4 linked regions of the Anolis sagrei genome follow. The main gene of each other region encodes a partner of the protein of the gene in region 4 in a complex. Links are inferred from orthologs where the notes say so. Each region holds a gene or a part of one and is shown on either strand. Other genes may lie near its edges. The genes, in order: UPF3B, CASC3, ALYREF and EIF4A3.

Region 1 (7,437 bases), on a different chromosome or scaffold from region 4:
GCTTAAGAAGCAGCCATATCAAGCAAGTCTTGGTGTCCATTGTATGGGGCAGAAGTCATCCCCACTCTTCCTTATTTATTACATTTCCTAAAATCAGATGTTGCTACACCACACAATGGACCACACATTAATATGGATCCTTTGCTGTGAAGCTGGCTACATTTCCTCCCCACCCAAAGCCCTTTGCATGCGATCTCAGATGAGCAATGATCGGATTTTTCAAATTAAATTCTGGATGACACTGGCTCGGCACAGACCATGCAGGCAATTCTACCCCGTTTCTGGGCCTCTGGATTGACTGAATTATTTTCACCAATTTATGCCAATATATATTTGGACAAAACAGAGATATGATATACATAGCCAAGTTTCAGGCATACTTGCCTTTGTGATCAACAAAAACATAACCATCAAAGCGATCCCTGAACAGAACTATGTCTTCTTGGTTTTTAAAGTTGATGTATGCTCTGGAAAACATGTGAGGGTACAAACTGCAGAAGGACAGAAAATGGCAATGTATAAGGAAACGTCGCTGAGTGATGACTGTAAATATACCAAAACACAAGACGGGTGTAAAACTGAAAGACATAAATGACATGCCACCGTTACATGCAACACGGGCAGAGTTTGAAAGGCCCTCTCACCTGGTGTCATTAGCAAAGAACTCAAAGTAGTCGTGTTCCGGCAAAGGCTGGAGATGTTCTTCAAGCTGCTCCTTGGTTAGGCTGGGAGGGAGGCGGCGAATCACCACCTGCAAGAGGAAGTGTCGGTTTTTACAAACACCTTAATTTGTCAAATAAATTGTTCCAAACAACACTATGTAACACAATTGTCGTTCCTGGGTTGGGGCATTTCCTAACTGGTTCTCCCATAAAAACTGTTGGAATGTAAGCCCGAATTGAAAATCCATCTCTTCCGGTAGAAGGCCGACCCAGCCAACTTTCTATCATGAGGTTTGACTGACATTCCCTTGCTGCTTTATGTTGATTTTGAACCCTGTGTGCGGTGTACATTTTCATAATTATGTCTTTTTTCTCTTTATATTTTATTATATAAAAGTTATGTTCATAGGTTATTGACTTTGCTATACTCTGGGTAACAAAATATGTATTCTTATATTTATATTTTTATTATCATATTCTTAATATTATATTTCTAGTCTTATTATATTTTTGATTATAATGTTCTTACTATATTTTTATTCTTATTTTTTACTATATATCTATGGTTATTATATATTGACTGTATTCTTATATTTCTCTTATTACAGTATACATAAAACAAATTTATTATATTGAGTATGTTGAGTATGTTCTTATTCAATTTCTATTATTATTATAGTTTATTATTTATTAATTTACAACATTTATGTCACTCTTCTCACCTGAAGGGGACTCATTATAGATAAATCACATTTATTATAGGTTGATTATGATATATTCTTATATTTCTTTTCTTATTATAGTCTATATAAAACACATTATTATAGAATATTCTTATTCTATTTTACTCCTTACCATTCTTACTATAATTTTATTCTTATTATATTCTATATAAAACACATTTGTTATAGGTTAACTATATTCTTATTCTATTTCTCTTATGTTCTTATTCTATTATTACATATCTATTCTTACTATATTTCTGTTTTTATTGTATTCTGTATAAAACACAGTTATTATAGATTACCTACATTCCCATTCTATTTCTCTTCTTATCATTCTTATTCTATTATTATATTTCTGTTCTTATTATATTCTATATAAAATACATTTATTACAGATGAACTATATTCTTATTCTATTTCTCCTCTTTTCATTCTTATTCCATTACTACATATCTAGTCTTATCATATTTCTTTTCTTATTATATTCTATATAAAACACATTTGTTATAGGTTGACAATATTCTTATTTTATTTCTCTTCTTATTCTTATTCTATTTTTACATATCTATTATTATATTTCTATTCTTCTCATATTCTATATAAAACACATTCATGATAGCTTGAACATATTCTTATTCTATTTATCTTATCATTCTTATTCTATTACTACTTATCTGTTCTTATTATATTTCTGTTCCTATTACATTCTATATATACACATTTATTATAGCTTGAATATATTCTTATTCTATTTATCTTCTTATCATTCCTATTCTATTATTACATATCTATTCTTATTATAATATATATAAAACACATTTATTATAGCTTGAGCATATTCTTATTCTCTTATCATTCTTATTCTACTACTACTTATCTATTCTTATTATATTTCTATTCCTATTGTATTCTATATAAACACATTTATTATAGCTTGAGTATATTCTTATTCTATATCTCTTCTTATTCTATTATTATATTTCCATTCCTATTATATTCTACATAAATACATTTATAATAGCTTGAGTATATTCTTATTCTACATCTCTTCTTATCATTCTTATTCTATTATTATATTTCTATTCCTATTATATTCTACATAAATACATTTATTATAGGTTGAGGCAATTCTTAGTCTATTTCTTGTATCATTCCTATTCTGTTATTACATATCTATTCTTCTTATAATCTATAGAAAACACATTTGTTATAGGTTAATTCTATTTCTCTTCTTATCATTCTCATTCTATTACTGCATATCTATTCTTATTATATTTATATTCCTCTTACATCCTATATAAGACACATTTGTTATAGAATGACTATATTCTCCTCCCTTCACCTTGCTGAGGAGCTCCTTCTTGTCCCGGGGCCTGCTGTCGGGCTCCCCTCCGGCCTTGGCGTCCGCGCCCCCGCCCACCGCCAGGGCTCCCGCTCCGGAGGAGGAGGCGGCGCCGCCCCGCTTCTCTTTGGGCCTGGCGTTCTCCTTGCCTTCCTTCATCCTCAACGCCGCGCCAGCCAGAGCCAACAACAAGGCCCCGCTCGCCCGTCTTCCGCTCCGTCCCGCTCGCCCATTGGCCGCCGCTCCTCTCGCGAGAGCCTCTTCCCTCATCCCCATGGCAACAGAGCTGAGGAAGTGACGTCGCCGCGGAAGGCCGCAACGGTTTTTCCATCTCCATAGCAACAGCAGCGGCGGGGGAGGGGGAAGGGAGGGAGGAAAGCCTGCGCCTGCGCAGTTCCGCCCTGCCTTTTGGTAAGTCACAAAACCCTCCTCCCTCCGTCACAAGGAGGTGGAGAGAAAGTGGCGCCTGCGCAGTGCCGCACTCCCTCAGCCCCGCCTCCCTCTCACTCCCATTGGCCGCGAGAAATGTCTCTCTCCTCTATCCCCAGAGTGACAGCAGAGGAGGGAGGAAAGTTTGCGCTTGCGCAGTGCAGCCCTACCTCAGCTCCGCCTCCCGGTCACTCCCATTGGCCGCGAGAGATGTCTCTCTCTTCTATCCCCATACCGACAGTAGCAGAGCGAGGAAAGTTTGCGCCTGCGCAGTGCCGCTCTCCCTCAGCCCCGCCTCCCGCTCACTCCCATTGGCCGCGAAGGATGTCTATCTCCTCTATCCCCATAGCGACAGCAGAGGAGGGAGGAAAGTTTGCGCCTGCGTAGTGCCGCCCTCCCTCAGCTCCGCCTCCCGCTCACTCTCATTGGCCGCGAGAGATGTCTCTCTCTTCTATCCCCATACCCTCAGTAGCAGAGGGAGGAAAGTTTGCGCCTGCGCAATGCCACCCTCTCTCAGTCCCGCCTCCCGCTCCCTCCCATTGGCCGCGAGAGATGTCTCTCTCCTGTATCCCCATACCCACAGTAGCGGAGGGAGGAAAGTTTGCGCCTGAGCAGTGCCGCTCTCCCTCGGCCCCGCCTCCCGCTCACTCCCATTGGCCGCGAGAGACGTTTCTCTCCTGTATCCCCATAGCGACACCAGCGGAAGTGACGCCAGGACGGAAGAGAGGGAGAGAAGCTTTTTCTGCCCTTGCATTCCTGAGGAGAAGACGATGTGGTACGAGATCCTTCCCAGCCTGACGGTGATGTACGTCTGCCTGACCATCCCGGGCTTCTCCACCACCTTCATCCACAAGTACACCAACGGGGGCAAGGTCAGCCACACCGCCACGCTATCGCGCGTCTGTCCCGCTTGGGCCGCCCTGGAAACCTCCCGGGGAATTCTGGGACAGAATGGAGGGGAGGGAGGCAGGCAGGGAGGAGTCAGAGTAATAGAGAAATACATAATAATGAGGGATGTGAGTAAATACAGGATGGAGAATAGATATATGGAATAGGCATAAATACAAAATAATAATCATAATGCAGGATATGCATAAATACATCATAATGTAATTGTGGGGTATAAAGAAATACATAATAATAATATACATGCAATGTATTAGTACATAATATTATAATAATAATATATTAATATGTGATATTATATTAATATATAATAATATATTATAATAATAATATATTAGTACATAATGATTTAACGGTCATTTAAAAGTCCCTTGGCCACTGTACACGTACAGCTGTACCAGTTTCCTTTGCACTGAATGTTTGTTATAGTCATAAGTTTCAGGGACTCTGCAGATAGGTGGCTTCTTTTGGCTGCAATCATAGGGCAAGCCACCTGTCAATTATAGTTCGGTTCCCTGGTCGCGCCCCTTTTTGAGTTTTGGAGGGAATAGGAGCCTTTTTGGGTCAGTCCACACAGAGAAGCTTCCATGCAGGACATAATATCAAGAGCTCCTGTAGAAAGCTTCGTCTTCTACAGCTTGGCCGGGGAGATATACAGCCTACAGCTTGGCCGGGGAGAAAAGGCCCACAGCTTGGCTGAGGATTTTGCAAAGTTACAGCTCCTTTGCGGAGGGATTTCAGCCAGCCAACACAGCAACCTGAACTCCTTCTTTTCCCCTGGAAGTCTACAAAGCTCTGCTTGGTAAGGGTCGCTCGTGGAAGCCAGACGCAGTTGGTACCGGGTGCAGGGGCTCCACGCCAACAGAGGCAAAGACAGACTGCCCAGATTAGAAGTTAAGGATTTCCCCATTAGTTAGTATACAGTTATGAAGATAGTGCCTGTTCCCTATGGACAAGATTGAAAGAGCCTATAGACCGTTAAAAAAAGCTTTAAAGTACCTGTTTGTTTTAATCAATAAAGAACTTTGTTGGACTTACTTTAAGTCTCTACAGAACTTTGTTTTAAGGAAATCCAAGGGCCTTTAATCTGAGGCAGCCCCGGCATCCCGTTGGGCACTCAGAATTTATGTCCTGTCTACAGCCTTATGCACAGGCCCAGCGTGCGACAGCACAACCACATCATGAGAAGAAAGGAAAGCTTAGAGAAGATAATGATGCTGGGGGAAATGGAAGAAAAAAGGAAGAGGGGCCAACCAAGGGCAAGGCGGGTGGATGGTATCCTTGAATTCACGGGCTTAACTTTGAAGGAGCTGGGGGTGGTGACGGCCGACAGGGTGCTCTGGCATGGGATGGTCCATGAGGTCACAAAGAGTCTGAAGCAACTGAACAAATGAACAACAACAAAATTGTTGTGGGATATACATAAATACATCATAATTATAATGTAAATGTTAGATATAAATAAATACACAATATTCAGCCTTCAACCATAAATCTGTATAAATAAATATGTAATGTTCATTTGTGGGATTAATATATTTCAAGAACCACAGAAGGAATTGAGACCAAATTTGGACGCAAAACACCTATCAGGCCAACGTGACCATCACTCATAAAAACACTGGAAAACACAGCGGAAGGGACATAAAAGGCTCAAAAACAAAAAATACATTACAAGGCATGTGCAAAACCACATATATATAGGCAAGCACACATATACACAAATATATACACAGATATATACACACACAAAACACAGACTGAGCCACAGCAATGCATGGCTGGGGACAGCTAGTGCATAATAATGATAAATACGGGATATAAATAAATATAAATAAATACATAATAATTATCCTAATGTAAATGTTGGATATAAATAAATACACAATATTCAGGCTTCAACCATAAATACACAATAATTATAATATGGTGGATCTAAACTGTAGAATGAATACAAGTTTGATACCCTGTCTTGATATGATTCGAATTGTGGGGGTTGTCATTTTGCAAGGTCTTTAGCCTTCTCTCGTGCTTCTAACCCAAAGAAAAGGGCTGCATCTACCATCCTCTATTCCAGTTGTCTGGGGTTTTTTCCCCTTTTTATGTTGGATTATACGCTTATACATTTTATCCCTTTTCTCCTTGATTTTGACTTGTTTTTCCCAACCCTTTTGTGTGTCCCAGGAGAAGCGCATTGCCCGGAACACCTACCAATGGCACTTGATGGAAAGAGACAGGAGGGTTTCTGGAACCGACCGTTACTTCGAGTCCAAGGTAGATAATGAAAAGAAACATTAAAACGCCACATGTTTGCCTTGGTTGCAGAGAGGAGTTCTGTCTAAACTTCATAGTCTTCGTATTTAGTGACAGAGGGTTTTTAGCCTCTGTTTTTGAAAAAGAATGAATGCAATAAACAATACCTAGAGGAGCATTGAATAGTACAAAACAATCTAAAAACCTCTCTCTTCTAGCCAGTTTTAAGCATGAATTTGAAACTCTTGTCTCTGTTTTGTGTATTTTATAGAAATATATATTTATATATTTTATATAACTTGATTTTAATATGTGCGTTTAAAGAATGTTCGCAATGTTTGTGTGTTTTGACTGTGCTGTGACCCGCCTTGAGCCACTAGCCACAATAACAGTAATTATGATTATGAAATGTTATCAGATAAAATTCTCAGAACCTGATATTATTTCTAAGATAAAATTGTTGTTGTTGTTACTATTTATTTATTGTTTTAGAAATGAGCTGAGGGTACTCAACTCGTATTTAAAAACACAAAGTTTGCAACACTTGGCATTATGCTAAATGTCCTTTGACCAGTAGCTGACCACTTGGAATGCCTCTGGTGTTGCTATAAGAAGGTCCTCCATTGTGTATGTGGCAGGGCTCAAGCTGGATTGTAATAGGTGGTCAGTGGTTTGCTCTCCTCCACACTCGCATGTCGTGGACTTTGTGGCCCCATTTCTGAAGACTGGCTTTGTACCTCATTACTATTATATGTCATCAGATAATATTCTCAAATCCTGAGATTATTACTAAGATAAAATGATGGTGATGATTAAATGTTATTAGATAAAATTCTCATAGTCTGAGATTATTATTAAAATATTATTATTATTATTAAATGTCATCAGATGAAATTATCAGAGCCTGAGATTATTATTAAGATTATTGTTGTTGCTATTATGAAATGTTATCAGATAAAATTCTCAGAACCCTTTTTTTGTAAAACATTATTCTTAAGAGATTACCATTTTTACACTTTTCCATTTTGCTTTCCGTTCCGTTTCAATGATGGTTTTCCTCTTTTCGGAGCAGTCTGTCTGAAGGAGTAGCCTGATCAGATGAATGGGAAGCAGATAAAAT
Region 2 (7,109 bases), on a different chromosome or scaffold from region 4:
ATGTTCTGCTTGTATGTTTAAACAAAATTGAAACAAATCAATTTTTTTTACAATAAAAAAGAATATTAATGTTTTTCTTATGTGTTGTGCCTCGTTTGACAGATGGTACAATTTTGACCAGCAGAATCTACTTCTGCTATTGGACAGAAAAGGTTACTGTAGTGGCTTTAAACTTAGTTAAATGTATAAATCAAGAGGAGTCTGAATAGTTGGATCAGAAGTCCTTGAAAGGTAGAAAGTAACAGTAGACCTGTATTTTTTTAAATGTAGTATCAAAATATATACAATAGAGTGACTCATTCCCAGCAGCAGCTCTGGAAATAGTATTGTATGTCATGCTTTGCCTAAAAAAGGAAAATTTACTTTCTGCAGTAGAAACGATACAGCCAATCATAGGAACATTTAAATGGAACAGGTTGAACTTGCAAATGAGAATGCCATCATTGCGGTTTTGCACAAGGGCCCTGTGTCTTTGAGACATGGTGGTTTTTGAGTCTAGAAAAGGCAGCCAGGACCATTTAAATTTGTGGGGTTTTTTTTGGGGGGGGGGGCAGGAAGCAGTATCTGTCCTCCCTTTCAACATTATTATAGCTAAGTTGGTTTAACAAAGCATACATACTGATATTATCAAAAGCAAAACAATAAAAGGAAAATTACAAGACTGGAAAAACAAAAAAGCGAAAGTGCATGAATTGGTTTTAGGCATACTTTTTAAAGAGTATTCTAAAATTGCGAGACTGCATGTGGCAAGGACAAATTCCATGTTGCAGATGTTTAGAAAAAAATAGTGCTGAACCTTGTCATAAACATCTATAGTGTAACATCATATAGAATATAGAATAAATTCTGCTTGTTTCATCTTAAACCCACAACACATCTAGAGCAGTAAAAGGCAAAATGTGGTAGCTGAATGTGTTGATCTTAGAGAAAGTCTATGGGGGTTTTCAGCATAGAAAAGAAAGGGGCATGACAGACACCATAAAATGATGCATGTTGTGAAAAAAGTGGACAGGAATAACGATGTTAGATATGCAGCTCTTCAGTGAAGCTGCCCGGTGGCGCAGTGGGTTAAAGCCCTGTGCCAACAGGACTGAAGACCAACAGGTCGCAGGTTCGAATCCGGGGAGAGGCGGATGAGCTCCCTCTATCAGCTCCAGCTCCTCATGCAGGGACATGAGAGAAGCCTTCCACAAGGATGATAAAACATCAAATCATCTGGGCGTCACCTGGGTAACGTCCTTGCAGACGGCCAGTTCTCTCACTACAGGAGTGGTCGCTCCTGACACGACCAAAAAAAAAAAAAAGTGAAGCTGTATTGATTCAAAACAGACAAAGGTACCCGATTCCTACAACTATGGCGTTAAAAGCACTGCCCTTATTCTACAGGGGTTTATGAATAGTACCTAAAGATGTTGGGTGTATCTACACCAGGGGTCCTCAAACTAAGGCCCCGGGGGGGGGGGGGGGGCGGATACGGCCCTCCAAGGTCATTTACCCAGCCCTCGCTCAGGGTCAACCTAAGTCTGGAACGACTTGAAAGCACACAACAACAACAACTACAATCCCATCCCATCCCATCAACCAAAAGCAGGCCCATACTTCCCATTGAAATACTAATAAGTTTATATTTGTTAAAATTGTTCTTAATTTTAATTATTGTATTGTTTTTAAGTGTTTTTTGCACTACAAATAAGATATGTGCAGTGTGCATAGGAATTCATTCATGTTTTTTTCAAATTATAATCTGGCCCTCAAGCAGTTTGAGAGACTGTGACCTGGCCCTGTTTAAAAAGTGTGAGGACCCCTGATCTGCACTCTAGTATTATTGCAGTTTGACACCACTTTGACTGCCATGCTCAATGCTATGGAATCATTGGAGATGTAACTATGCAAGGACTTAAGCCTTCTCTGCCCAATAGTGCTGCTGATTTTCCAATCTACAGCTCCCAGGATTCTGTAGCAAACTATATTAATTCTGCAGTGTAGATGCACCTGTTGATGGGCCTCCCATGTCCTTTGGTAGCATGCATTTGCTGGGAAAAGAAACACTGTCCTTGTGTCCTGACTCTGGACTTTTTATTAGCATCTGTTTAGATAGTGGGTAAACATGATACTGGACTGGGCTAGTCTTTGATGTGATCCAGCCAAGCTCCTTTTTATGTTCTAACTTTTATGATTAGACTTGGTTCATGTTAACCCAGTTGATAGACTATTTCAAAATTATACTGTTTTTGCATATCATTTTCAGTGCCAGGTTTCTCTTCATTTTTTTTCTTTTCTACAAGTGGCAACCGGTTTTTCCTAGGTAATGAGATTGGGTAGATAATAGGAAGGCGAATGGTTGTTATGGTTAATGTTAGTTGAGCCTTATAACCTAAGTCACTTTAAATAAACAAAAATATTGTTCCAGCATGCAGTATAACTGGGTTTGTATTTTCCACCAGCTTCCTGGACCTAGCATGCCACTGCAGGCTCACCCGCTTTTGCATTACAGGTTGGCCATCCCTTATCTGAAATTCTTGGGAAAAGTGTTTTGGGTTTTGGAACACCATTACTTGCATAATGAGATATCTTGGAGATGGGCCGCAAAATTTATGTGTGCTATGGCAGGCCATGGGGCAACTTCGGCCCTCCGGGTGTTTTGGACTTCAACTCCCACAGGAATTGTGGGAGTTGAAGTCCAAAACACCCAGAGGGCCGAAGTTGCCCCATAGCCTGCCTTAATATGCATAGCTTGAAGGTACATTTATCCAATATTTTTAATAATATTGTGCATGAAACAAAGCTTGGGTACCTTTTGCCACCAGAAAGCAAAGGTGTCAGTGGGTGCATCTACCCCAGGCATGGGCAAACTTTGGATGTTAGGAATTGTGGGAGTTGAAGTCCAAAACACCTGGAGGGCCGAGGTTGGCCCATGCCTGCCTTAAATGCATATCTTGAAGATTAATGTATTCAATTGTGCATGAAACAAAGTTTGGGTACATTTTGCCACCAGAAAGCAAAGGTGTCCGTGGGTGCATCTACACCAGGCATGGGCAAATTTTGGCCGGCTGTTAGGAATTGTGGGAGTTGAAGTCCAAAGCACCTAGAGGGCCGAAGTTGGCCCATGCCTGCCTTAAATGCATAGCTTGAAGGTTAATGTATTCAATTGTGCATGAAACAAAGTGTGGGTACATTTTGCCACCAGAAAGCAAAGGTGTCAGTGGGTGCATCTACACCAGGCATGGGCAAACTTTGGCCGGCTGTTAGGAATTGTGGGAGTTGAAGTCCAAAACACATGGAGGGCCGAAGTTAGCCTATGCCTGCCTTACATGCATAGCTTGAAGGTTAATGTATTCAATTGTGCATGAAACAAAGTTTGTGTACATTTTGCCACCAGAAAGCAAAGGTGTCAGTGAGTGCATCTACACCAGGCATGGGCAAACTTTGGCCAGCTGTTAGGAACTGTGGGAGCTGAAGTCCAAAACACTTGGAGGGCCGAAGTTTGCCCAAGCCTGATCTACACTGTGAGATCAATGCAGTTTGACACCCATTAATGACTATGGCTCAGTGTCAAAGAGCTCTGCCAACCTCATCAAACTACAAATCCCACAATTCCACAGCACTGAGCCCTGGGAATTAAAGCGGTATGGGTCTGCATTGATTCTACAGTGTCCATGCAGCCTTGCTTGAATTATTTTGGCTTTCGGAATTCTGGCTAAGGGCTGTGTCCAACCTGTTTTTCTCCATGCGGCCGGTTTACCCTTTTCATTCCCTCCGAAGCCTGTGCAACGCCCTGCCTCTACGCTTTCAGTCCTGCAGGATAAACAACAATGACATCACCGTCGCAGTGGGAAAGCGTCGAGGCAGTAGGGGGGGGAAGAGGGGGAGGTGTCAATCTTCGAGAAGCACGTGACCCTGTTGCCGAGGCGTCCTTCGGCCCGCCCACTGAAGAGCAGTTTGCCGTGACGTCATTGCTCCACAGCGCCTCCATTGGCCGCTGTCTTCCTTTCCTCCCCTTTTGTCTTTAATCCTATTTTTTGTTCTTCGCAAAGAATTCTGGGGGGAAGGGGAGGCATCGAAACGTGTCTCGCGCGCGCGCGCTGCGTGTCGGAAGTTGGGAGCTGGTGGGCGCGCGCCTTGCTCGTTACCCGTCATCCCTTTGGGCTCCGCCCCCTCCTCTTCCTCTTCCCTAACCGTTTCGCTTCTTGTTTCTTCTCGTCAAGATGGCGGACCGGAGGAGGCAGCGCGCTTCCCAGGACAGCAGTGAGGAGGACGAGTCGGACTCGCCGCCTGGGAGCGCGGCCCCTTCGCCGAGGGGCGCCCTCCGCCTCGGACTCGCCGGCTCCGCGGCCAACGCTAGCAATGCAGGCGGTGGAGGCACCGCGGTTGTTGTTACTGCCGTCGCCGCCACTGCTGTTCCTACCTCCGCCGGTCCTGAAAACGTGGAGGCGGCTCTGACGGCGGGAGGAAGCCCGGCCGACTCGGAGTGTGTGAGTACCTGGGCGGAGGAGAGGGAAGGCTCCGTGAGGGACTGGGCCTTGCACTAGGCCGCAGTTTGAAGCGCTCTGAGGTTTCAAGCCTCCTCAGGCCTTGGGGCTCTTCCACACAGCCAGATAACCCAGAATAATTATAATCATAATAATTTTGCTTCTTACCCACTCTCCTCATGGCTCAAGGCGGGTTGCAAAACAATTAAAACATATAAGCACAGCAAAACACTACAAATACACATACCACCATAAAAGTTACATACCAAAACATATCGCTGTGAAATATATATGGAAACAGACAAAACAAATTAAACAAAGGGCATGCATTAAAATTCAGGTTTATGTTTAAAGACTAGATAATAATAATAAGGTTTTTATTTATACCCACCCTAACTGTCCGAAGGGATTCAGGGCAGTTTTCATCAAAAGTGGCAAACATTTGATGCCATAATAAAACAAACAAATGAAATATATATGAAAACAGACAAAGGAAATTAAACAAAGGTCATGCATTAAAATTCAGGTTTAGGTTTAAAGACTAGGTAATAATAATGTTTTAGTAATAATAATGTAATAATCTGCTCTAGCTCCCCGAGAGGACTCCCATCAAAAGTGGCAAACATTTGATGCCATAATAAAACAAACAATAAATGAAATATATATGAAAACAGACAGAACAAATTAAACAAAGAGCATGCTTTAAAATTCAGGTTTATGTTTAAAGACTAGGTAATAGTAATAAGGTTTTATTTATACCCACCCTAGCTGTCCGAAGGGACTCAGGGCAGTGTTCATCAAAAGTGGCAAACATTTGATGCCATAATAAAACAAACAACAAATGAAATATATATGAAAACAGACAAAGCAAATTAAACAAATGGCATGCATTAAAATTCAGGTTTATGTTTAAAGACTAGGTAATAATAATAATAAGGTTTTATTTATAATAGTAGTAATAATAAAACTTTATACCCCGTCACCATCTCCCCAAGGGACTCGGAGCAGCTTACATGAGGCGAAGCCTAACAACACATCAAAAACAACAAGCAATAATAAAAACAACAAGCAATAAACAAAAAAACAATACAGTTAATATAACTCACAGGTAGACAATAACACATAAGAATTTAAAAATCTATGGCAGGGCCAGATGTAATAGTTAAAACTTTAAAAATAAATGCTGGACATGAACAGAGGATGTAACTAGTAGGGGAGTTTTAAACGAAAAGTAGAGAACAACCCAATGGGTAATTAAAGTGCTTCTCAGGGTACTTTGCAGGGGATTGTTTCCTTTATTCAGAGAAGGCACACTGGAACAGCCACGTTTTCAGGCTCCTCCTAAAGACTGCCAATGTGAGGGCTTGTCTGATATTCTTGGGGAGTGAGTTCTAGAGTGGGGGGGGGGGGGAAACCATGGAGAAGACCCTATCCCTCATCCCCAACAATCGCGCCTGCGAGGGAGTTGGGAGCGAGAGCAGGGTCTCCCCAGATGAACGAAGAGATCGTGTGGGTTTATACACAGAAATGCGGTCACCTGCCCTGGCTCCCTGAGGGGACTCAGGGAGGTTTCCATCAAAAGTGGCAAATATTCAATGCCACAATAAAACAAACAACAAATGAAATATATATGAAAACAGACAACAAATTAAAGGGCATGCATTAAAATTCAGGTTTATGTTTAAAGACTAGTTAGTAGTAGTAATAATAGTAATAATAATAATAATAATAATAATAATAATAATAAAGTTTTATTTATAACCTGCCCCAGCCCCTCGAGGGGCCTCAGGTTAGTTTCCATCAAAAGTGGCAAACATTCAGTGCCATAATAAAACAAAACAACAAATCAATCAACATAATAAATAAAACTTATGGCTAACCAATAATAACCAAAAAGTAAGAACTTAAATAAATGTAATACATCACATTTCACACATTTACCAGCAGCTAAAAGGCATTAAAATATTGGGTGGTTTACTGCAACCAACAGGGCTGAGGTAGCTTTCCAGTAGCTAAACGAGAGTACATAACTAAAATGTATTACTGATCCTTTCCATACGCTAAAGTGCATAAATAGGTTTTTAAGGAGCCCCCAGTGGCGCAGTGGGTTAAACCCGTGTATCAGTAGGACTGCTGACCAAAAGGTCAGCGGTTCGAATCCGGGGAGCTGAGTGAGCTTCCATCAGCTACAGCTTCTCAGATGGGGACATGAGAGAAGCCTCCCACAGTATGGTAAAACATCCTGGCGTCCCCTGGGCAACGTCCTTGCAGGCGGCCAATTCTCTCACACCAGAAGTGACTTGCACTTTCTCAAGTTGCTCCTGACATAAAAAGAAAAGAAGAAGCTTTGTAAAAGAGAGAATTTCTACTTCTTTGGGGAGGGATTTCCAGTGGTGGGGGGCGATCAAGGAGAAGGCCTTGTTTCTTGACCTGACCAACCATACTTGAGACGGGGGTAGGACCAAGAGCAGGCCTCCTCCATGGACCGCAATGCTTGTGGTGGTTTGTATATGGAGATGCAGTTTTTCAAATCATCTGGGCCCGAACCATTTAGGGCTTTATAGGTGATAACCAGCCCTTTATATTTCGCCAGGAATCAGACCTGCAGCCAGTGGAGCTGCTGTAGCATGGGAGTGGTTC
Region 3 (7,760 bases), on a different chromosome or scaffold from region 4:
GCGTTTCAGACAATCCACCAAGACACAAGCTTACAAAAGGGGCCCAGGTAATATCTAGCATACATGAAAATAACATCATGATATGTTCTTGTTCAATATGCTGACCTTCTCACAAATATATATTTCCTACACGATATAGACACAGTTCATGACCATTTAAAACCACAATCCTGGACAGAATAAAGACAGAAAAACCTGAATGGTAGACAGGATAATAATGTTAAGAAAATGTAACTAGAAAGAGAGCATCCAGTTCCTGCACTTCTTTTGATTCAGTCTGTGGGAAGGCTTAGGATATACAATACAATACAATACAATACAATACAATACGAGCAAGTAAAGTCTCCAGGCTTGAGGAAGAGCTAGGAAGGATGAATCTCCATGAAGCTATAAGAAGAGGATGTGAAATCCGTAAGGAGGGAGAAATCTTGACCTGGTTATTCTTTGAACTTCCACTCCTGTCGGCACATTGGACAGTGCTGCTGGACTTGCTGGGAGTTAAGCCACTTGAGAATGCAGTGCATGTGGAAGCAGTGGGAACACTGACCCCACACCAGCGGGCAGTCATCTCCAGGCACCTTACCTGCAAAACACAAGAGTTACTAGGGCAAAGCTGGGAAAAGACAGTGTATATCGATCAAGAAAAATGTCAGTGGGCAGATAGTCCCAATACTCACAATCTGGGCAGCAGCCATTGAAGGCCATCCGGCAAATGCCACAATTCTCATCATTGGCAACCCAGAGCCAAGAGGCAACTCCATGCCAGCTCTTGATTTTCACTTTCATTGTGTTCAACTAAATACCACACTTAGATCAACCTAGTTTAGCACCTGAAGGGAGGAGAGAAAAAACCAATGGAAATCACTGTTTCTAAAATGGGAATCAGAGTTTCTAGAAATCAAAGTCTCTGTTTCCTAGCAAGATTGGAGCTGGAATGCAATTTAAAAACTATTTAACCTATTTAACCTTTCCACCAGGGTAGCAATAGATGGCATTATAAATTATATTAATATTCGTCTTACAATGTATATGCAGTCCAGGAGGTATGTTAAGCTTGTGCCTTCTTTAGGGATGATGCAGGACAGACTACAACCAAATTCCAGATTAGGACAGGATGGAAGCAGAGATTTTTGAGACATTAAAGCAAAGTAATATATATTAATTCTTACCTATGATTACATTGTTTTTATAGTATAACCATTACAGCAGATGAATACCAAGGTCCTAATGCCCAGCATAACTATACAAAAGCATTGCAGAAGAACAGCAGCATTAAGACATTGCAAAGCTGGGTACATTATTAATATTGAACTCAACAAAATTTGAAGTAGTTGGGTAGGAATCATATCCCATGTGGGTAGAATTCAAAGGCATGACTGCATTAGTCTAGAATACCAGTATGCAAAGGGATCTTGCAGTACCTTAGAGGCAAAATGAGACAACAAAACTGATAACATAACCTTTCCAAGATCAAGTCTATTTTGTCAGTAGCTCGCCACAGAGTTTGTGGGCATGGTGCTAAAATGACCAGTTCAGTGTTAATGATGTCACTGAGGAACAAAGGGAGTCGAGAAGATGTTGCCTAAAGGCAAGATAAGTAGATAAGCATATGAATGGTGGAGGGAGTTCTTGGACTGTCCTGTACCTGTTTTGCATTTCTATGGCTATTCACACATTCTGTGTATAAAGATCTCTTTACCCTAGGGATAAATAGGAATGTCTGGTGCTAACCCACCTGATAAACATGTATGTACTGAAACACAATCATTTTTTTTATACTATAATTAACTATTTGATATTGCTGTTTACAATATAAATAAACTGACACAGAACTTCTAGGACCATAAACTTTTATCACATAGATTTTATGAATTTTTCCCAAGCACTTCAGTCCATGCATCTGAGAAATCGGACGAATTATGAAAGTTTAAGCTACTAGCGTCATTCTTTCAGTCTCTAAGTGCCACAAGACCCCTTTGCATACTGTTAAGACTGCAATAGTTCCTATCGCAGCCCTTGAAAGGAAGAAAAGCAAAAGATATCCATATTTTGCAGGATATTCTCAACTGAGTCTTATTTAATTTATATGTTGCCTTTCTTATAAATAAATAAATAAATAAACCAATAATAAAACATTAAAACAATTTAAACTATCATGTTAAAGCAGTACATAATTATTGAAAGCACATATCAAAAATAAAGCATTCTTCCCCGTGGGCAATTACATATTATCAGATTAATATTTTAAACACTGTATTTTCAGTTACCAGCTCCCCGTATCTTGCCATCTTCTTTTAAACAGCTTGTAAGAAGTAAACCCTAGGTAGCTGAAGAACTAGGGACTTCAGCACACTAGAGCATCTATCAACCTTAAATCCAGTTTCTGCCTCCTGCAGAATTCTGGGTTTGTAGTTTAGAGAGTGGCCTTTAAAAAGCTCATCCAGAGAGGTCTTGGAACTCACTAAACTACAAACCCCAGAATTTTGCAGGAGGGAACAACTGGATTTAAAGTGGATAGATGCTCTAGTGTACGCTTGGGCAAACTTCAGCCCTCCAGGTGTTCTGGACTCCAACTCCCACAATTCCTAACAGCTTACTAGCTGTTCGGACTTGTGGGAGTTAGAGTCCAAAACACCTGGAGCACCCAAGTTTGCCCATGTTTGCTCTATTGTGATGAAGTAGCTGCTTTTGTAACAGTGACCTAAAATTAATGGTTGGCTCAAACTATAGCAGGCTCTTTGCACTATCTGTGTGTCTGTATACACACAACACTTCAAGCTGATCATTGACTGATTGCGTTATTGTAGGTTTTTTGGGCTATATGGCCATGTTCTAGAGGCATTCTCTCCTGACATTTCGCCTGCATCTATGGCAAGCATCCTTGTGAGGTCCTCACAACCTCTGAGGATGCTTGCCATAGGCGAAACATCAGGAAAGATGCCTCTAGAACAGGGATCCTCAAACTTTTTAAACAGAGGGCCAGGTCACAGTCCCTAAAACTGTTGGAGGGCTGGATTATAATTTGAAAATAACATGAATTCCTATGCATGCTGCACATATCTTATTTGTAGTGCAAAAAACACTTTAAAGCAATACAATATTTAAAATGAAGAACAATTTTAACAAATGTAAACTTATTAGTATTTCAATGGGAAGTGTGGGCCTGCTTTTGGCTGAGATAGGATTGCTGTTGTTATAGCCTAAAGCAAGGGTCCTCAAACTAAGGCCCGAGGGCCGGATGCGGCCCTCCAAGGTCATTTACCCGGCCCTCGCTCAGGGTCAACCTAAGTCTGAAATGACTTGAAAGCACACAACAACAATCCTATGTCATCACCCAAAAGGAGGCCCACACTTCCCATTGGAATACTATTAAGTTTATATTTGTTAAAATTGGTTTTTGTTTTAATTATTGTATTGTTTTAAAGTGGTTTTTGCACTACAAATAAGATATGTGCAGTGTGCATAGGAATTCATTCATATATTTTTTTCAAATTATAATCGGGCCCTCCAACAGTTTGACGGACTGTGACCTGGCCCTCTTTTTAAAAAGTTTGAGGACCCCTAGCCTAAAGCATCTGATATTTGGTGGCTGTCTCCCATCTAGGAGCTATGCAGTTTTCAAGATCAGGCAGACCTTGGCACCTTTACAACTGTTAGGCGCACACTGACTGCTGCGTAGTCAATTGGCATGAATCTATAAAAGTAAAGGTTTCCCTTGACATTAAGCCTAGTTGTGTCCGACTCTGGGGGTTGGTGCTCATCTCCATTTCTAAGTTGAAGAGCCAGTGTTGTCCATAGATACCTCCAAGGTCATGTGGCCAGCATGACTCCATGGAGTGCTGTTACCTTCCTGCCGGAGCTGTACCTATTGATCTACCCACATTTGCATGTTTTCAAACTGCTAGGTTGGCAGGAGCTGGACTTACAGCGGGAGCTCACCCTGCTCCCCAGATTCGAACAGCCAATATTTAGGTTAGCAAGTTCAGCAGCTCAGCGGTTTAACCGGCTGCACCACCAGGGGCCCTGGCACCAATGTAATGGCTCTGCTCTCGTTGGAACTAGCAGCTTGGCCTGGGCAATGCTTCAGCGTTGGGCTATTATTACGTGCGGATCTCTTTACCAAAGAGCAGCCGCCAAACAACAGCAGCAGCCACAAGACTGTAGTCTGAGGTCTCCGTCTACACTGGCCATTTATTGCAGTTCCAAAGCGATTTTGCTGTGCAGTCAGATGGCTACATGAGAAATCCTGGAGCCAGTTTGAGGCCCAGAAAGTGCTGAAAGCCCTGAGGCACATTAAGGGCTTTGCATTCAAGGGAGTTTGTCGCCTGGTTGCCGAACTGTATGAAATGTTTAGTGCAGACGGGGCTTTGGGGGGAACAGCCCCCTCCCCTGCCCCGAGGCAGCATCCTCCTCCTCCTCCAACCTTCCCGCCTCCCTTCCCCTTACCGGAAGTCCCGCCCCCAAGGGCTCTCCCATAGTTCCTCGCGCACCCAAGCCCTTAAAACCGAGCGCGAGAGGCCCCTTGGCGCACTTCTTTCAGCGGAGGAGCCCGGCACGAGCGCAAGCGCGCCCACCCACCGCGCTCTTCCCTTCCTTTCTTTCCCGCCTCCTTCTCCTTCTTCTTCCTCCTCAGCCAGGCTCCTTCTTTTTCTCCTTCGCCGCCCTTCCCTCTGTATCCCCGCCTCATCCGTTTCCGGTCCCCTCGCGCAGCGCGGCCGGAAGCGTAGGCCCCAGGAGCCGGAGGGAGCCGCCATCATGGGCGACAAAATGGACATGTCTCTGGACGATATTATCAAGCTCAACCGGAGCCAGCGAGGCGGAGGCGGGCGCGCCGGGCGAGGCCGGGGGCGAGGGGCCGCGGGGCGAGGCGGCGGAGGAGGCGGCGGCGGCGCGGGGCGAGGAGGCGGAGGCGCGGGGCGGGCAGGAGGCGGAGGCCCCATCCGGAACAGAGCCGCCTTGTCCCGGGGAGGCGGCAGGAACAGGCCGGCGCCCTACAGCCGGGTACGTTTCCGCCAGGCGTCTCCTGGGGGTCTGCCTTCGGGCTCATCTGGACTCTCACTGCATTCGCAACTCGTGATAGCACTTGGGCCTGCACCTGGGGGAGAAAACGCAGGGAAGCCTAGGCTTATACTATACGGCAGTGGTTCTCAACCTGTGGGTCCCCAGATGTTTTGGCCTTCAATTCCCAGAAATCCTAACAGCTGGTAAACTGGCTTGGATTTCTGGGAGTTGTAGGCCAAAACACCCGGGGACCCACAGGTTGAGAACCACTGCTCTAGGGGCTGTAGTCTGAAAATAAGGGGACATGAGACCTTAAGACAAGTGGTTTGCCACTTGTCGGTCCCCAGTATTTTGGCCTACAAGTCCCAGAAAGTTTACCAGCTGTTAGGATTTCTGGGAGTTGAAGGCCAAAACATCTGGGAAGCCACAGGTTGAGAACCAATGCCTTAAGATATGCTGATCAGTTACTGACTTGGGGTGCCCTTTCTTTCCAGCCCAAACAACTTCCAGAAAAGTGGCAACATGATCTCTTCGAAAGTGGCTTTGGTCCTGGCGCTGGTGTGGAGACAGGTGGAAAACTTCTGGTCTCTAATCTAGATTTTGGCGTGTCAGATGCGGACATACAGGTAGGTTTTCCCTTCATCTCTAATAATAGGTGGCCCAGTGTTGGAATTTGTTCTAACTCAGGCATGAGCAAACTTCATCCCTCCAGGTGTTTTGGACTCCAATTCCTAACAGCTGGTAGGCTGTTAGGAATTGTGGGAGTTGGAGTCCAAAACACCCGGAGGGCCGAAGTTTGCTCATGCCTGAGCTAGCTGATAAGGTTGTGTAATGGAGACCGCCTTTATTTTGGGCATCTTATTGCAAATTTCATCTGTGTGGACATGGGTGTTTTTTTATGATTGTGACAAATGTCTTAATGTTTGGAGAGAAGCAGAAATGTCTCTCTGTGAAATTATCAGCATTAATATTTATTTCCTTTGATAGTTTGGGATTGTTAGCAAACACATTGATATTCATAGGCTGTCTTGTTTTGTGTAGAGTACATATATGAACATTTTCTAAACAATTTCATAAGCTTAGTACTATAGTAGATATATCTGTTCTACACACTTCTTTTTGTAATCCTTGGGATATGTGGATCTCTATTGGATTATTTTTTTCTGTGCAGGGAAGTCTGAACCTAAGGCTAACCTATACAAAGACAGAAAATTATTAATTAAAAAATCATTAAAATTTTATTTCTAGTCTGTCCTATCTCCCTGAAAGGACTCAGGGCGATTTCTAATACAAAAGCAAATATTCAATGCCATATGCAACCATAAAAACACAGCACCATAAAATAACAATGAAACATGGCTAAAATGCATGCATAAAATAAACTCTATGAGGAGGGTAAACAATCAGGCTTTTTTGCAGGGAGAAAATTTTATCCTGTTGAACCACATTTCCCAGTACTGTTTATCCTTTGAAATAAAGCCAATGTTGTATCAGACAATAGGCAAACAAGAATATATTGTGGTTTGGTTGTAGGGTACAATGGCTTTTATGACTTCAGATGAACATATGCTCACACACTGGATTCATGAAGGCCAGACTTTTTGCCAATCTGCTCTTAAAACAGCATAAGGCAAAAGACACTTGCATGATTTGAGATTCAAACATGGCAATGGTTTATATAGTGTTATGCAAGATCACTTAACTTGTTTAGGAGTATGTAGCTTAAGCAGGGTAAGCCGCTTCAAATGCCCAAGAAGCAGTTCTCCACCACAGTGGGCTCCACTACAGAAAGTACAGCAGGGAACTTGTTTTCCATAATTATTCTTCTGATTTTATTTGTAGTGGGGCTATGAGGAATGCAACCACTCCACTTTATTTTGTGGCTGAGGCACCTTGGTGGAGGTCTCATCAACATTGCCTCCTCAGGAGATCTTCTGCCCTACATTTCTTGCATTTTTCCTTGAGTTCTGGGGTTAATTTAAGTAGAAAATGAGGCAAAGTTAATGCAAGATCTGATTTGTAGTTGTAGTAAAATGGCAAATGTGAGAGTGAAAGAGTTTACTGCTTTAATGGGTAATCTTTTTAGAAAGACCTGAATACTTTGCCAAATCCTCCTGGTTGAGATAACTTCCTACTTTTACCATATCATTTTCAGGAACTTTTTGCAGAATTTGGTACATTGAAGAAGGCAGCAGTACACTATGACCGATCTGGGCGTAGTCTAGGTACTGCAGATGTTCATTTTGAGAGGAAGGCAGATGCTCTGAAGGCTATGAAACAGTACAATGGAGTTCCCCTGGATGGTACGTGCTTAACTGTCTATCTTGATATTTACACAGTGGAATAAGAGATAAGCTAGCCTTGAATTTAAGTATTTCTCTGGTAGCTACAAATAACAAGGAAATGTGTTTGGAGTGTGTATGTATTATTCTATGTAAGAGGGTGGCAAAGGAAGAATGGAGAATCTGTTTTTTTTGGCATAGAAACCAAGAAGACAGTTTAAAATGGTATGGTCCTGAGAAGCTTCCAACCCTTGGTTCTTGAAAGAAGTATTTTAGCATTATTTTACAGACTAGTAAGGTTTTTGGACTAATAACCCTTGTGATGCATATCCTTTTTATTTTTAGGACGTCCCATGAATATCCAACTGGTTACATCACAAATAGATACACAGAGGAGACCAATACAGAGGTAGGAGATTTAATCTTTATTGATGATGATGATAATAATAATAAGTTTGTTCTTTTATACCGCCACCA
Region 4 (7,611 bases):
AGGGCCCCTGGATAGGAGCAACTCTGGATCCCTAAAACAAGCACTGTATTCTTGTAAAGATGGGATATTCTATAAAATATCCTATAGGTGGCCTGTCCTATAAGGTCTCTGCAGTGGGGCAACCCTGAACCCCCAAAGCAAACACAGTATTCTTGTAATGGTGGGATATTCTATAAAATAGCCTATGTAATGGTGGGATATTCTATAAAATAGCCTATATGTGGGCCGTTCTATAGGGTCCCTGCATAGGAGCAACCCTGGACCCCTAAAGTAAGCACAGTATTATTGTAAAGGTGGGATATTCTATACTATAGGTGGTCTGTCCTATAGGGTCCCCTACATAGGAGCAACCCTGAACCCCTAAAGCAAGCACAATGTTCTTGTAAAGGTGGGATATTCTATACTATAGGTGGTCTGCCCTATAGAGTCCCTGCATAGGAGCAACCCTGAACCCCTAAAGTAAGTACAATACTCAATGTGGAAGTGAGACATCTTAAAAATATCCTGCATAGGAGCAACCTGAACTCCTAAAGCAAGTACAGTACTCTTGTAAAGGTGGGATATTTTATACTATATCCTATAGGTGGTTTGTCCTATAGGACCCTGCATAGATGCAAGCCTGAACCCCTAAAGCAAGCACAGTATTCTTGTAAAAGTAGGATATTCTATATTATATCATATAGGTGGGCTGTCCTTTAGGGCACCTGCATAGGAGTAACCCTGGACCCCTAAAACAAGAACAGTATTCCTTTAAAGGTGGATATTATATACTAAATCCTATAGGTAGGTGTCCTATAGGGCCCCTGAATAGGAGCAACCCTGAACCCCTAAAGCAATACAATACTCAACATAAAAGTGAGATATCTTCAAGATATCCTGCATAGGAGTAACCTTGAACCCCTAAAGCAAGCACAATATTCTTGTAAAAATGGGACATTCTATATTATATCCTATAGGTGGGCTGTCCTATAGGGTACCTGGATGGGAGCAACCCTGAACCCCCAAAGCAAGTACAATACTCAAGGTGGAAGTGAGATACCTTCAAGATATTCTGCATAGGAGTAACCCTGAACCCCTAAAGCAAGCACAATATTCTTGTAAAAATGGGACATTCTATATTATATCCTATAGGTGGGCTGTCCTATAGGTTACCTGAATAGGAGCAACCCTGAACCCCTAAAGCAAGCGCAATACTCAAGGTGGAAGTGAGATATCTTCAAGATATCCTGCATAGGAGCAACCCTGAACCCCAAAAGCCAGCACAGCACTCACCTCTGCCCTCCTCCCACTTGTTGCTTTGACTCTCAGAGCAGAAACTGCAGCAGCAGGAGCAGCATCTCCAGGGAAAGGGAAGCCAAGCCTTGCTCCAGAGGCTCTCCTCCGCCTCCTTTGTGTCCCTCCGAAGCCCAAAGCGGCGTGCTTTGCCGGGGCTTCTCCCTCCAGGGGTGGAGGCCCCTCCCCGGGGCTGGACCGGGCTAAGCAGGCCGCCCCCCGTCCTCAGACCACCCTCCTCCTCCTGCCTGCCTCCCTTCCTCCTCCTCCTCCTGGCATTGGCTGCTGTTGCTTCTTCCTCTTGAGTCCCTGGCTGCAGCTGCACTGTGGGATTAATGCATGCAGCTTGGCACCTCTTGACCTGCATTGGCTCAAGGCTATGGGATCATGGGAGCTGTAGTTTGGCAAGGCACCAGCACTCTTGGCCAGAGGAGGCTGGAGACCTTGTGAAACTACAATTCCCACAATCCCATAGCATTGAGCCAGGGCAGTTGAAATGGTATCAAACTGTATTCTTTCTATAGTGTAAATATACCCACCATCAGGTGCTTTGCATCTTACTTCAAGGCTGGGAAAATAGGGGGAAAGCAACAACCACAACAACAACAACAACAACAAAGGCTCAGAAATAGAATCATAGAATCCTAGAGTTGGAAGAGACCTCATGGGCCATCCAGTCCAACCCCCTGCCAAGAAGCAGGAATACTGCATTCAAAGCACCCCTGACAGATGGCCATCCAGCCTCTGTTTAAAAGCTTCCAAAGGAGGAGCCTCCACCACACTCTGGGGCAGAGAGTTCCACTGCTGAACGGCTCTCACAGTCAGGAAGTTCTTCCTCATGTTCAGATGGAATCTCCTTTCTTGTAGTTTGAAGCCATTGTTCTGCGTCCTAGTCTCCAAGGAAGCAGAAAACAAGCTTGCTCCCTCCTCCCTGACTGCACTGACCATGTCATGTAAGATAACCAATTGCAGAGAAGGGAACCAATAGAATGAGCAGGAACTAGGCAGTGCTTCTTGTAGGTCAGAGAATGGTCCAGAGTGACTCCCAGGTATTATTTATTTATTTATTTACAGCTTTTATATTCCGCCCTTCTCACCCCGCAGGGGACTCAGGGCGAATTACAGTGTACACATACATGGCAAACATTCATTGCCAATTTTTGACATACAAACATATACAGACATACACAGAGGCTATTTAACTTTTTCTGGCCACCAGGGGAGCTGTCGCTTTCATTGTCCATCTGCGACACTGATGAAGTACTTCCGCATTCCTCGCATGCTTCCCCGCTGGAATGCTTTGCTGGAGTCTTCTTTATGGCCTCATAAATTAGTTAATTTAGCCTCCCCACACTTTAATGTGGTACCTAATTTTCCCACTTGACAGATACAACTGTCTTTCGGGTTGCAAAGGTCGACAACAGGCTACACACAATTGGTTGGAAAACCCACTCCAACCTGGGCTAGCTTCGAACTCATGACCTTTTGGTCAGAGTGATCTTTAATGCAGCTGACACTCAGCCAGCTGCGCCACAATCCCGGTATTTGGGTGTGCTGCAGTGCTCCAGTGGGATTCCTTCCCTGGTAATCCTCAGAGCTCGAAATGCTTGTCTGTTCTTAAGGTGAAAAGCACATGTCTGCATTTTAGATGGATTAGGAATCAGCTGGTTTTCCCTGTAATAGGTAGTAAGGCCACCTAAAGCTTTGGAGAGCTTCTGTTCAACGATTTCACAGCTCCCTGCTTGGGTGGTGATGGCATGATCGTCAGCATAGATGAAACTCTCTGTCCCTTCTAAACAGTATAATTTCTCCAGTGGTGTAGGGCGTAGACATCCTGTGATAATGCGGCATGTGTCCTTAAGAGCCACATCCACTGTTTTAACGTGATGGGATGTGTTCCACACTGGGCATAAGGAAAGGAAAGGGCCTGAGGTTGTTAGGAACTGTGGGAGTTGAAGTTCAAAACAACTCCCATGCCTGTTGTAGATGGACAGCACTGATCATGCTCTCATAATCTGAGGATTCGACCCTAGAATCATAGAATCAAGAGTTGGAAGAGACCTCATGGGCCATCCAGTCCAACCCCCTGCCAAGAAGCAGGAATGTTGCATTCAAATCACCCCTGACAGATGGCCATCCATCCTCTGTTTAAAAGCTTCCAAAGAAGGAGCCTCCACCACACTCTGGGGCAGAGAGTTCCACTGCTGAACGGCTCTCACAGTCAGGAAATTCTTCCTCGTGTTCAGATGGAATCTCCTCTCTTGTAGTTTGAAGCCATTGTTCCGCGTCCTATTCTCCAAGGAAGCAGAAAACAAGCTTGTTCCCTCCTCCCTGTGGCTTCCTCTCACATATTTATACATGGCTATCATATCTCCTCTCAGCCTTCTCTTCTTCAGGCTAAACATGCCCAGCTCCTTAAGCCGCTCCTCATAGGGCTTGTTCTCACCCTGACTCTGGAGATGTGAGTTCGAATCCTAGCTTAGCCACAGAAATCCAAGTCACACTCTCTCAGCCCCAGAGATAGGCAAAGGCAAACTTCGGACTTCAACTCCCAGAAGGCTCTCACATCGTGGCCAACACCCAGGAATTCTGGGAGATGAAGTCTCAGACAAAAGAATCCCTGCTTGTTGTGACTCTTATCAAAAACATATCTCTATGGGCAGAAGCGAACGTCGGTAAGCGTATGTTTAGGGCGAGAGTCACTGAGAAAGCTTTACTGCGCACGCGCAACTGTCTCCTGTATCTATAACCTTTACAAAGCGCGAACGTTGCAAAATCAGAGATGGAAGCATTAACGCGCATGCGTGAAGTCTAGTCCCGTTACTGACTCTATTGGGAGGAGTGAACGTTTGCTGACGTCATGGAGACAGGGTGAGGAAGGGCAAACTTCGGACTTCAACTCCCAGAAGTCTCCCACATCGTGGCCAACACTCAGGAATTCTGGGAGATGAAGTCCCAGACAAAAGAATCCCTCCTTGTTGTGACTCTATAAGTTATATCTCTATGGGCGGAAGCGAACGTCGCTAAGCGTCTTTTAGGGCGAGCGTCACTGAGAAAGCGTTAATGCGCATGCGCAAGTGTCTCTTTTATTTTTTACAAAGCGCGAGCGTTGCTAAATCAGATAGAAGCATTAACGCGCATGCGTGAAGCCTAGTCCCGTTACTGACTCTATTGGGAGGAGTGAACGTTTGCTGACGTCATTGAGACAGGGTGAGGAAGGGTTAGAGCGCATGCGTAAGTGATTGTTTGAGGCTGAGCGTTGGAGCGCATGCGTAAACTTCTCGTCTCTTTAGCGTCTGTTGGGACTCTCTGGAAAGGAGCGAACATTGGGTGGACGTATGTTTTACGTCGTGCGTCACCATCTACGTCATGGAGTAGAGCTGAGGGCGCATGCGCGGTTCAGTTGCGGCCTAGCCGGCGGTGTTGCGGATCTCCTCACGTTCTCACGCGCGGCCTTCGGAGCCTCTGAGGGAGAAACGCGTGCAGGGAAGCGGCGGGAGGCACGACTCGGCCGGGAAGGATGTCGGGGACGACGGGAGGTACGGCGGGCTCTGCTCGGAAGCGGCTGCTGAAGGAGGAAGACATGACGAAGGTGGAGTTCGAGACCAGCGAAGAGGTGGACGTCACCCCCACCTTCGACACCATGGGCCTGCGCGAGGACCTCCTCCGAGGCATCTACGCCTACGGTGAGCCGGGAGGGACAAGATTCTCATTCTGTCTCGCATTATAACCATCTATACAAACATAACAACAATAACACAGTCTACCGTTATATATTATTATATATTATCAGTAGTAACTATTATATTTAATATATTAGTATTGCTATATTACAGTAGGGCGGCATATAAATGTCATAAATGTTCATGTTTTGGGGTTTGATCTGTAAGTGGAAAGGGATGCTAAATGAATTTTAAATGGCTTTTCTAGGCTTTGAGAAACCTTCAGCTATCCAGCAGAGAGCAATCAAACAGATCATTAAAGGAAGAGACGTAATTGCACAGTAAGTACAGATTATTTAATTATTTAAACATTTATATTCCGCCCTTCTCACGTCGCAGGGGACTCAGAGCAGAGCACAACATATATACGGCAAATATTCAATGCTGGGATATAAAACCATAAATATATACAAACATTAAAGTCACTTATATTCAGATTAAAAGTTGCTTAAAAACCATCTCAGGACACCATTTTGCCTCATTTCACTGCCCCAAAGGCTTGGTCCCACAGCCAAGTCTTCACAATCCTTCTAAAGGACAGGAGGGAGGGGGCTGATCTAATATTGCCAGGAAGGGAGTTCCATAACTGGGGGGCAATCACTGAGAAGGCCCTGACTCTTGTCCCTACCAAACATGCCTTTGGTGGTGGCGGGACCAAGAGCAGGGCCTCCCCAGAAGATCTTAGTTTCTGCAGTGGTTCATAAAGGGAGATCTGTTCAGACAGGTAAACTGGGCCAGGGCCATTTAGGGCTTTATAGGCTAAAGCCAGCACTTTGAATTGTCCCAGTAGCAAACGGGCAGCCAGTGGAGCTGATGTAACATGGGAGTTGTGTGCTCCCTGTATGCCACCCCAGTTATTAACCTGGCTGCCTCTCATTGGACTGTTTGAAGCTTCCGAATCGCGTTCAAAGGCAACCCCATGTAGAGCGCGTTGCAGTAGTCTATCTTGGATGTAATGAGAATGTGAACCACCATGGACAAGTAATGTATATGGAAGTAAAATGAGGTCACTTTGGAATATTGCCATATTGACTATAAGAAAGTAAACGATTCTTGATGTTGTGTTTTACACCTTTGATGCCAATGACTACAGCAAATTTGTCAGATTAAATCCACCTCAGTTCAGTGGTCCTTGTTTAGTGTAAAATGTGACAGTGAATGTATCTTCTTGTCAACCATTGTATCTGTTTATGTTGAATCTTTTATTATATGACATGAAATCACAGTCACATTTAGCCACAGATCTAAATTAACTTGCAATATTCCTTTTATTCTATGACACCATTGAGTCTAAGATGCACACTAATTTCAGTACCACCATTTTCACCCAACTATATATATATATATATATATATATATATATAATATATAATCCCAACCATTGTAAGAAACACCACAGTTTTAGAGATGTTTATACAAGAGGAGAAGCAGGTCTTAGAAATGAAGAAATATAGTTCTATTTCCAGCTACAGTATCCCCATTAAAGCCATGGGTAATCAAGTAAGTCAGCACTTTGTATAGACTGATAATCCTTGATGAGAATGCATATTCTTTCCACAGCAGGAATGCCCTTGCTTTTCACACAAGAACCGAAAACTTAAGCCTTTTCTCCTCACCTGCAGGACAAGATTTTTTTTCTTGTGATTTTTGAATTTCTAGTTGATTTTTTTGTAATTGGCATAATTAGTTCAAATAACAAAGCTAAATGTAAATATTTAAATCAATATCAACAAAGCTGCCTTTTTCGTGAACTAAAAATCAGAGGGATCAAATCAAATATCAGCTTTGAACTATGAGGGTTAAAGTGGTATCAAACTGCATTCATTCCACAGTGTAGATCCATTCCACTCTAAAACCTTATCTGCCTTTTTGCTATTTAGATTTTAAATAACCACCTTGACCTACCTGGGTTGCTGTTTATTTTTTGTATTATTACAATTGTATTATTTCTGTGCAGTCAGTTGACCACATTTGCTGGGATTTAGAGGTACAGGGTCTCTTTTTGGATTTACTTCAACTCCCGCAATTCCTAACAGCCAGTTGTTAGGATGTGTCTTAATTTATACCTGTACTGTCTCTTTTTAGAAAGTATTTGAAGGCTAGACATCAGTATCTTAGTTTGCGAAGAGTTCAGAGGAAAATCATAGACCTTTTAATTCTACATTGTACAACTGCAGATGCTTGAGACACAGCGGATGATACCACGTGTTTGTATATTATTAACTTGTACAGTTTTATTATACTCTCCAAAGTAGACCATAACTTAAATTTGATTGTTAAACATAGGTTTTATTTGTAGAAGTTTCAGTTTCGAGAACTATTTCAATGTCATGATTGTGGAAGTAATCCTATATATATGAGTTGCCTGAGGGCTGAGAAGGGTGGTATACAAATACAGTAAATAAATAAATATAATGACAAAGGAATATATCTCATTGAGCTCAGTGGGAGCTGCTTCTGAAAAGACGTATAAATACTGTACTATAAAAGCCTAAATTAACCCCCCAAGTTCACTGTTAAAATGTTATTTTTAGCCATGAATTAATTAGAACGAAAATACTCTTAGTCCCCCATCTTTAATGCAGAATAATGAGCTACCAATATACTTTACATAATT

The links.
Region 1: EIF4A3 (region 4) and UPF3B share a complex: the UniProt entries of both Homo sapiens proteins name them as parts of the mRNA splicing-dependent exon junction complex. The link is inferred for Anolis sagrei from reciprocal best matches to the Homo sapiens genes EIF4A3 and UPF3B.
Region 2: the proteins of EIF4A3 (region 4) and CASC3 are in contact, whole or in part, in a crystal structure (PDB 2J0U), measured with the Homo sapiens proteins. The link is inferred for Anolis sagrei from reciprocal best matches to the Homo sapiens genes EIF4A3 and CASC3. Residues at the interface, in NP_055555.1 of Homo sapiens: Thr178, Arg179, Lys198, Ile201, Tyr202, Tyr205, Arg206, Tyr207, Leu208, Pro209, Pro210, Thr212, Lys231, Phe232; in NP_031385.2 of Homo sapiens: Arg217, Trp218, Glu219, His220, Asp221, Lys222, Phe223, Glu225.
Region 3: EIF4A3 (region 4) and ALYREF share a complex: the UniProt entries of both Homo sapiens proteins name them as parts of the ALYREF/THOC4-EJC-RNA complex. The link is inferred for Anolis sagrei from reciprocal best matches to the Homo sapiens genes EIF4A3 and ALYREF.

Annotation. Positions count from the first base shown.
Region 1 is NC_090030.1:3,214,469-3,221,905, forward strand, and holds the start of UPF3B (regulator of nonsense transcripts 3B), read right to left. Parts: upstream 3,021-7,437; 5' UTR 3,006-3,020; coding exon 2,730-3,005; intron 752-2,729; coding exon 645-751; intron 492-644; coding exon 385-491; intron 1-384. Other genes in the region: NDUFA1 (NADH dehydrogenase [ubiquinone] 1 alpha subcomplex subunit 1), read left to right, coding at 3,929-4,030, 6,249-6,338. UniProt on the Homo sapiens protein: Involved in nonsense-mediated decay (NMD) of mRNAs containing premature stop codons by associating with the nuclear exon junction complex (EJC) and serving as link between the EJC core and NMD machinery.
Region 2 is NC_090026.1:40,429,090-40,436,198, reverse strand, and holds the start of CASC3 (protein CASC3), read left to right. Parts: upstream 1-4,093; 5' UTR 4,094-4,205; coding exon 4,206-4,472; intron 4,473-7,109. UniProt on the Homo sapiens protein: Required for pre-mRNA splicing as component of the spliceosome. Core component of the splicing-dependent multiprotein exon junction complex (EJC) deposited at splice junctions on mRNAs.
Region 3 is NC_090022.1:113,659,377-113,667,136, reverse strand, and holds the start of ALYREF (THO complex subunit 4), read left to right. Parts: upstream 1-4,745; 5' UTR 4,746-4,755; coding exon 4,756-5,001; intron 5,002-5,495; coding exon 5,496-5,627; intron 5,628-7,156; coding exon 7,157-7,304; intron 7,305-7,628; coding exon 7,629-7,692; intron 7,693-7,760. Other genes in the region: ANAPC11 (anaphase-promoting complex subunit 11), read right to left, coding at 438-583, 678-786. UniProt on the Homo sapiens protein: Functions as an mRNA export adapter; component of the transcription/export (TREX) complex which is thought to couple mRNA transcription, processing and nuclear export, and specifically associates with spliced mRNA and not with unspliced pre-mRNA.
Region 4 is NC_090021.1:21,907,408-21,915,018, forward strand, and holds the start of EIF4A3 (eukaryotic initiation factor 4A-III), read left to right. Parts: upstream 1-4,596; 5' UTR 4,597-4,792; coding exon 4,793-4,958; intron 4,959-5,202; coding exon 5,203-5,275; intron 5,276-7,611. UniProt on the Homo sapiens protein: ATP-dependent RNA helicase. Involved in pre-mRNA splicing as component of the spliceosome. Core component of the splicing-dependent multiprotein exon junction complex (EJC) deposited at splice junctions on mRNAs.